Linked DNA regions of Oryctolagus cuniculus. The protein of the gene in region 2 interacts with the protein of the main gene of each other region in a pairwise test. Links are inferred from orthologs where the notes say so. Each region holds a gene or a part of one and is shown on either strand. Other genes may lie near its edges. The genes, in order: NUP153 and TPR.

What was found.
Region 1: the proteins of TPR (region 2) and NUP153 interact in a two-hybrid assay, tested with the Homo sapiens proteins (3 studies listed by BioGRID, with this or other methods). The link is inferred for Oryctolagus cuniculus from reciprocal best matches to the Homo sapiens genes TPR and NUP153.

Annotation. Positions count from the first base shown.
Region 1 is NC_091436.1:144,877,998-144,881,818, reverse strand, and holds part of NUP153 (nuclear pore complex protein Nup153), read left to right. Parts: intron 1-1,848; coding exon 1,849-1,977; intron 1,978-3,821. UniProt on the Homo sapiens protein: Component of the nuclear pore complex (NPC), a complex required for the trafficking across the nuclear envelope. Functions as a scaffolding element in the nuclear phase of the NPC essential for normal nucleocytoplasmic transport of proteins and mRNAs.
Region 2 is NC_091444.1:3,523,707-3,527,527, forward strand, and holds part of TPR (nucleoprotein TPR), read right to left. Parts: intron 3,155-3,821; coding exon 2,951-3,154; intron 2,849-2,950; coding exon 2,664-2,848; intron 2,241-2,663; coding exon 2,093-2,240; intron 296-2,092; coding exon 158-295; intron 74-157; coding exon 1-73.

The DNA.
Region 1 (3,821 bases), on a different chromosome or scaffold from region 2:
AAGTAAGTTTTAGCAATAAAGAGGATAGACTATTATAAAGTGATTAAACATGTTTTCTTTATTGACACAATTGTAGGAACAGTGGTTTTTATTTTGGGGAGCATAGTTGTATTGATGAAACATATATTACATAACTTTTGTTTATTAATTTATTTAAATATTTATTGCTTTATTTATTTTGAAAATCAGAATTAGATCTTCCATCTGCTGGTTCTCTTCCCAAATGGCCAAAACAGCTGGGCCAGATAGAAGCCAAAAGCTTCATCTGGGTCTTCCAAGTGGGTGGTAGAGGCCCAGACACTGGGGCCATCTACTATTCCTTTTCCCAGGCCATTAGCAGGGAGCTGGATTGGAAGTATAGTATCTGGGATACATACCAGTGCCTGTGTGTTATGCCAGCCTTGGCAGGCAGCAGCTAAACCCTCTGTGCCACAGCACTAGCCCCTATTTTACTTTATTATTAACATTTGTTTATTTATTTATAAGACATCTTTAATCTACTGGTTTATCCCCCAAATGGCTGCAATGGCTGTTGCAGGGCCAGGCCAAAACTAGGAGCTTGGAGCTTCCTCTGGATTGCCCCACGTGGGTGTCAGAGGCCCAGTTACTTTGCCAATCTTTGGTTTCTTTCCCAAGTGAATTATCAGGGAGCCGGATCAGAAGTGTAGCAGCCAGGATGTCTGGACTGGAAGTGGAACAGTGCAGCCGGGACTTGAACCAGTGTCTGTATGGGGTGCCAGCACCGCAGGCAGCTACCTCTATGCCATGATGCCAACCCCCTTTTATTGCGTGCTCCTGTCTGCTGATTCACTCCCCAAATGGGACAGCAGGGAGTAGGTGTGGGCAGAGCCAGGAGACTGGAACTAAATCCACATCTCCCATGGGGTCTCAGGAACCCAGTTACTTGAGCTGTCACTACAGTCTCTCAGGATCAAATTAGCAGGAAACTGGAGCCAGCAGACAGAACTGAGTATCAAACCGAGGTGCTCTAATGTGAGATATGGGCATTTTAACCCAAAACCCCAGATCGCTTACGTTACATACAAAGATACGCTTGTTTTGGAAAGTATGAAAAATAAAAGCTATAATGAGCACTCATTTTACCATTGGTAGCCACCATTAATCTTTAGATACGAATATTCTTAATCCTCTGCACTTATTCTAACCTCCTTTTACCCATAACTATGCTTTTTTTTTTTTAATATTTATTTATTGGAAAGAGTTGCAGAGAGAGAGAGAGAGGGGTCTTCCATCAGCTGGTTCACTCCCCAGTTGGCCTCAACAGCCAGAGCTGTGTTGATCTGAAGCCGGGAGCCAGGAGTTTGTTCCAGGTCTCCCACGGGGGTGCAAGGGCCAAAGGCTTGGGCCATCTTCTACTGCTTTCCCAGGCCATACAGAGAGCTGGATTGGAAGTGGAGCAGCTAAGACTCAAACCGGGCACCCTTACGGGATGCTGGCACTGAAGGCAGCAGCTTATCCTGCTATCCCACTGTGCTGTCCCCCATAAACTATGCTTTTAAGATTATTTTGTGACTACCTAGCATTTCATTATGTTACTATTGTGATTCTTGTAACTACTAGGCCCTTATTTTTAACCATTTTATCACATAGGTGTTTAATATTATAATTGAAAGATATTTTAAATTGTATAAATTTCTAGAAATGAAATAATTGGCTCAGTTGGAAATTACTTATCAGGTTTTTTTTATCAGTATGTTCAGTAAAGTGGCTTTTTTACTAAAGTTTTAGAAATCGATCCAAGAGTTCGCTTTGAAAGTTTTTTCTAAATTAATTCGAGTCCAATGCTTTTTCTTGGCATAATAGCTTTTATAATTAAAATAATTACAGCTCAAGATACCACTGCAGTGACCAGCAGTACAATCTGTATGAAGAGGCAAGGTGAAGATTATGAGGGTCCTTTTAGACCTGCAAAAATTATGAAAGAGGGAAGTGTCCTAGATCTTCTGAAAAACCCTGGTAAGATAATGACTGCTCTTGTGATAATCAAAAATCTTATTATACAAACTCAGGACTTCATTTTAATATCACTTGGTGTTGTACTTTATAAAAAAATGCTGACTAATCTGATAGGAGGGGACTTTTCAAAGTAGCTATGTAGATATTAATTCTTTTGTGGGAATTTGTGTGCTATTCAAGGACTTCACTAACATGAGGTCTCTAAGAGGCAAAGGCAGGAGAAAATGAATTATGTGTTATTAGAGCTAGGCCCATGTGAAATAAGCAAATAAGTTTAATGATGTACCTGCACACATGTTCCTCTGATGAAAGCATTCAACTGCCATCTCAAATTATTCTGCAGTTTGGTATATACCAAACAAGGCCACGTTTGATGAATTGTAACATATATGCCCAGAGGAAAGTATTTACCTGAAATGAAGCAAGGCTTGAAAGCTAGTTGGTAGTAGTTTGAAGAAATGAAATATGTTCACAGTTTCAGTTGTGATGTGTAACATAAAAATGTCAAAATGTTCATAGGTAATCTAGTAGTTTAAGAACACTATAGATTTACCCAGCAGATGTCTTTGTTGTAAAATGATTTAAGTATAAGATTTGGCTTTTTTGCATGACTTAGAAGGATAAAGTTTTTGTTCCAGGTGTCATTTTTAATTTGAAAGAATCACACAGAGAGAGAAGGAGAAGCAGAGAGAGTGAGAGGTCTTCTATCCGCTGGTTCACTCCCCAATTGGCCGCAACAGCAGGAGCTGCGCAGATCTGAAGCCGGGAGGCAGGAGCTTCTTCCAGGTCTCCCACGTGAGTGCAGGGGCCCAGGGACTTGGGCCATCTTCTGCTGCTTTCCCAGGCCACAGAAGAGAGCTGGATCGGGAGTGGAGCAGCATGTATATCTAGTGTTGCGTCTGGTGTTGTGGCATAATGATTAAAGCCTCTGCCTGCAATGTTGGCATACCATATGCGCGCCAGTTCAAGTCCCAGCCATTGCACTTCCTATCTAGCTCCTAGCTAATGGCTTGAGAAAAGCATAGGAAGATGGCCCAAGTACTTAGGCCTGTGCCACCCACATGGGAGACCCAAATGAAGCTCCTGGCCGTTGTAGACATCTGGGGAGTGTACCTGATTGAAAAGATATCTCTCTCTCTCTCTCTCTGTAACTCTTTCAAATAAAATAAATCAATCTTTCTTAAAAAAAAAAAAATACTAGGGTTACACTTTGTATTCATAATGTCAAACCCTTGTTTAAGTCTGAAAAATTTGGGAGAGTCTTCATTTGAGTGAAATCAAGACATTCTGAAAAAGTGGGGAGGAAAAGAAATGTGATCTTCCCTTTTTCTTTTCTTTTGGTTATTAAGGTGAGAGACATGGGTCACTGGTGGTGTGTGCAAAATTAAAAGTTAACTGGTCTCAGGGCTGGTGTTGTGACGGTACAGTGAGTGTGACACCAGTATCTCATATGAGTGGTGGTTCGAGTCCCAGCTGCTCTGCTTCCGATTCAGCTTCCTGCATAAAATGCCTGGAAAAGCAGCAGGAGGATAGCCCAAGTGCTTGGGCTCCTGCCACCCACATAGAAGACCCTAATGTAGTTTTTGGGTCCCTGGCTTTGGCTTGGCACAGCCCCAGTTGTTCAGGCATTTGGAAAGTGAATCAGCAGATGGAAGATCTTTTTCTGTCTCTTCTTCTCTGTCACTCTGCCTTTCAAATAAATTTTTTTAAAAAAATTTATTGATCTTAAATAAAAAATTAAATGGGTTATTCCCCCAAATAAAATCTAGTGTTGATTAATCAGTTCAATAATAGCAGTTTTGGGAGCACAAAGGCATTTTTTACAAAGCAGATATATTTGAAAT
Region 2 (3,821 bases):
ACATACCACTCTTCTCACTGAGCTCGGCATTTGCTTCTTGTAAGGGTAAAATATCTAGCTCAAGTTTCCTCACCTGAAAACAGAGCCAGTATTTTCTTGTAAACATTAATTTATAACAACCCTAAAATCAGTAAATGCTTGCACTCTGACTACAAACCTTTGCTTGCATTTGCTGCAGATCCTGTTCTAGCCTCTCCTTTTCTTCTCGTAGCATCTTATTGGTCTCCATAACTACATTCATCGTTTCAGTTTTCTTCATCAGTTCTTCATGCTGAGCCATCGTTTTTGCAGTCACCTGAAGGTTGTAAACACATACACATCTAATAGCTGAAAAAAAGCTGCTTTTTACTAGTTCTACCTCTCCTGACAGTATAAAGGGTTTCATTTTCAACTTTTAGTTAAGTCAACTTTCAAAATTAGCACTTTTAAAAATTTATAGTTTGTTTTTTCTGTGATGTTACTGAAAGTTTAAAAAAATACAAGAAATTACAAAGAAAGACACTACAAATCATCCCAAAAATAAGCAGTACTAACACTATATCAAAACACTGTTTATTTTTTATCTTGCTACGATGCTTTTATTAATGTTTCTAAAGTGATGCTACTTTAAAAAAACAAAAAACAAAAAAAAGCATTTGAAAGGTGGAGAGATGTTCCAGGCCAAAGCCAAGAGTCCAGAATTCCATGAGTCTCTCATGTGGGTAACAGGGACTCAGATATTTGAGATATCACCTGCCCCCTTCAAGGGTGCACATAAACAGAAAGCAGGACAGGAAGCAGAGGAGTTTGGACCTGAACCAGGCAATCTGATACGGGATGTAGGCATCTAAACCAGCAACTTAACCGCTGTGATAAACTGCTATCATCTTGATGCTCACTTTTTACCCTGTGGTTCAGATATCCCTCATTATTTGTTTCTGTTGTTTGATCAGTTGGTTTCAAGGAATTTTACTGAGTATCTATTGAACTCTGAACTCTTTTATTGTGGGTAAAATTATCCATCTTTTGCACGTGATGCCACTGTTCCCCACACCAGTTTTAAAAGTACAATAGTTTTCATGGTGCCATGCTACATAGTTCATTCTTGGTCAGATGTCATATTATTTCTGATGTGACATGGATTAGCTGACCTTCTTTCTCCTGTATCTAAAAGTTGGTTTTCTCCTCTGAACTTGCTTGTGGGCTGGACATTTTCTAGTACTTGCTTTTCCCAAAGGAACAGCAAAGGAAACAAGACAGACTCAGATAACATATAATCTTTCTCAGAAATTCTGATTCCACTCTTTTTGTTCCAAGTTAGTGCCATGAACTGGAGGCCCTATTTGGTTTCACCTTATAGTCCCACTGCAGTACCTTTTGTTTTCTGACAATATACTGTCCCTTTGTGTGAAATTCTGTAACCGTTGCAATACATCATTCCATTCTAGAATGACTTCCAGATGTGTCTGGCAACTATAAATAATTAAGATGGCTGGAATTTATTAAGCACATACTACCCATTAGCAATGGTTCCAAACGTTCCATGTGCACTAACTAAATCTTTACTACTATTATTCAAATTTTATAGATGAAACCAAGGGCAAGCAAGTTAAACAATATACCCAAGCGCATATAGGTAATGGTATGAAGCTAAATCTGAAACCAAGCATTTTGGTTCAGTAAGAATGTTGTACAAATTGGGCCGGCGCCACGGCTCACTAGGCTAATCCTCCACCTTGCGGCGCCGGCATACCGGGTTCTAGTCCCGGTCGGGGCGCCGGATTCTGTCCCGGTTGCCCCTCTTCCAGGCCAGCTCTCTGCTGTGGCCAGGGAGTGCAGTGGAGGATGGCCCAAGTGCTTGGGCCCTGCACCCCATGGGAGACCAGGAGAAGTACCTGGCTCCTGCCATCGGATCAGTGCAGTGCACCGGTCGCAGCGCGCCAGCCGTGGCGGCCATTGGAGGGTGAACCAACGGCAAAAGGAAGACCTTTCCCTCTGTCTCTCTCTCACTGTCCACTCTGCCTGTCAAAAAAAGAATGTTGTACAAATTAAATTTTATATAAATGAGCTCTTTTCTTTCAACAATCACATTCTGAAAGCTTAGTACACATACCTGGACTTTCTCCCTCTCAGCATTTAGACTGTCTTGCAGTTCCTGCAGCTCTCTTTCTAACAGTTCAACCCTTTGTCGATAACGTAGACTTTCCACCTGAGCCACTTCAAATCTAGTTTCAGCAATTTCTTTTTCTCTTCGTATAAATCTACAAGAATATGTTAAGATTTTATTTGAATTAAGAAATAAGGCCAACACAACACTTCAAAACATGGGTAATTTTTAAAATACAAAAATCAAATGAATGACTGTTTTGACTAATTATAAACAATGGGAGACAACATTTTTGTTTTTTATTAGACAGTATCTTTAGAAATTGATATACTTAAAGTGGCCTGGAGGCATTTAGTGCTTCAGGAAGAATTCACGTAAGTTCTTACTATCAGATTTGACTGTCAAGGCATTTAATATGCTAACAGTGACCACTAATTGGATAGTAGTGCATTTGTTGGTCACTAAGAGAGAAAACTGTAATATCCATATGTAACCTACAGATAAAATTCCCAATTTATACATTTATATTTTCATTTCATAACTGCACTAGAGACATTAGTATTGACACCTGACTTACCTGAGCATTTCTAGAATCTGCTCTTGTGATTTTCCTTCTTCACTGAGAGAGACATTCAATGGACCCTGTGCACCCTCCTTCATCGAGGCAACAACCTTGTCACTTAAATTTTCAATCTGATCATGAAGTAATCTATTTTGTTTCTCCAGATCCTCACAGCGAGACATGCACTTAGAAACTTCATCCTGTAATCCAGGAGGGTATCACAACAGCAGGTTTCCAATGCATGATAAAGACCCCAGCTCTCCCAATTCTCCACACCATTCTATTATGCTCCGTTAAAATACCTTTAACATTCTCTCTCTCTCCTCCCAAGATGCTTTACACTCCAGCAACTGTGATTCCGCTTTCTGGGTTGTTTCTTCCAGATGCTGACGGGCTGAGGCCATTTTTGAAACTTGCTCCTTGGCAGCCTGCAGAGCCTCCACATCCGCGGCATGCAGCATGAGCTCTCTCTCGTACTTGTTCTGGGCCTCCACAGCCATCTTGGCCTGCAAGACGTCATTGCCCAGGGACACACGAGACTGACAATCCTCAAAGCTGGGCAGTGCTTTCAGAAAATACACATACTGTGCTTTTTAAAACAAGTGAAGACTATCTAAATGCTATACTGTATCCACTTAAGAAAATATTTAAAAACTGTTAAAACAATACTATATAGCAATTTGGAATAAAAAACCAAATGTGACTCAGCTATGTAGAATATAGCCATATATACATACTTAAAGAGAACAAAGGAAACGAGACTTGATGGCGAATTAGATACAGATTGAACATCCCTTATCTGAAATGCCTGGGAAGTATTTCACAGTTCGGATTTCTTGGGTCTTGGACTATATGCACAGATTTTATGGGCTGACCATCTCTAAGCTGAAAATCCATAATGTCCCTTAATCTAAAACTGCACAAGAAACAACAGGGTGTAGCAGCATTCTGAAATTCAGATTAGATATATTTTATAAAGATTTTATTTATTTGAGAAGTAGAGTTACAGATATTGAGAGGGAGAGACAGAGAGAAAGGTCTTCCTTCTGTTGGTTTACTCCCCAGGTGGCTGCAACAGCTGAGGCTGCGCCCATCCAAAGCCTCCTGGAAGAAGGGCAGCTGGGAACAGCACCGGCGCACATATGGGATGCCGACACCATACGCGGAGAATTA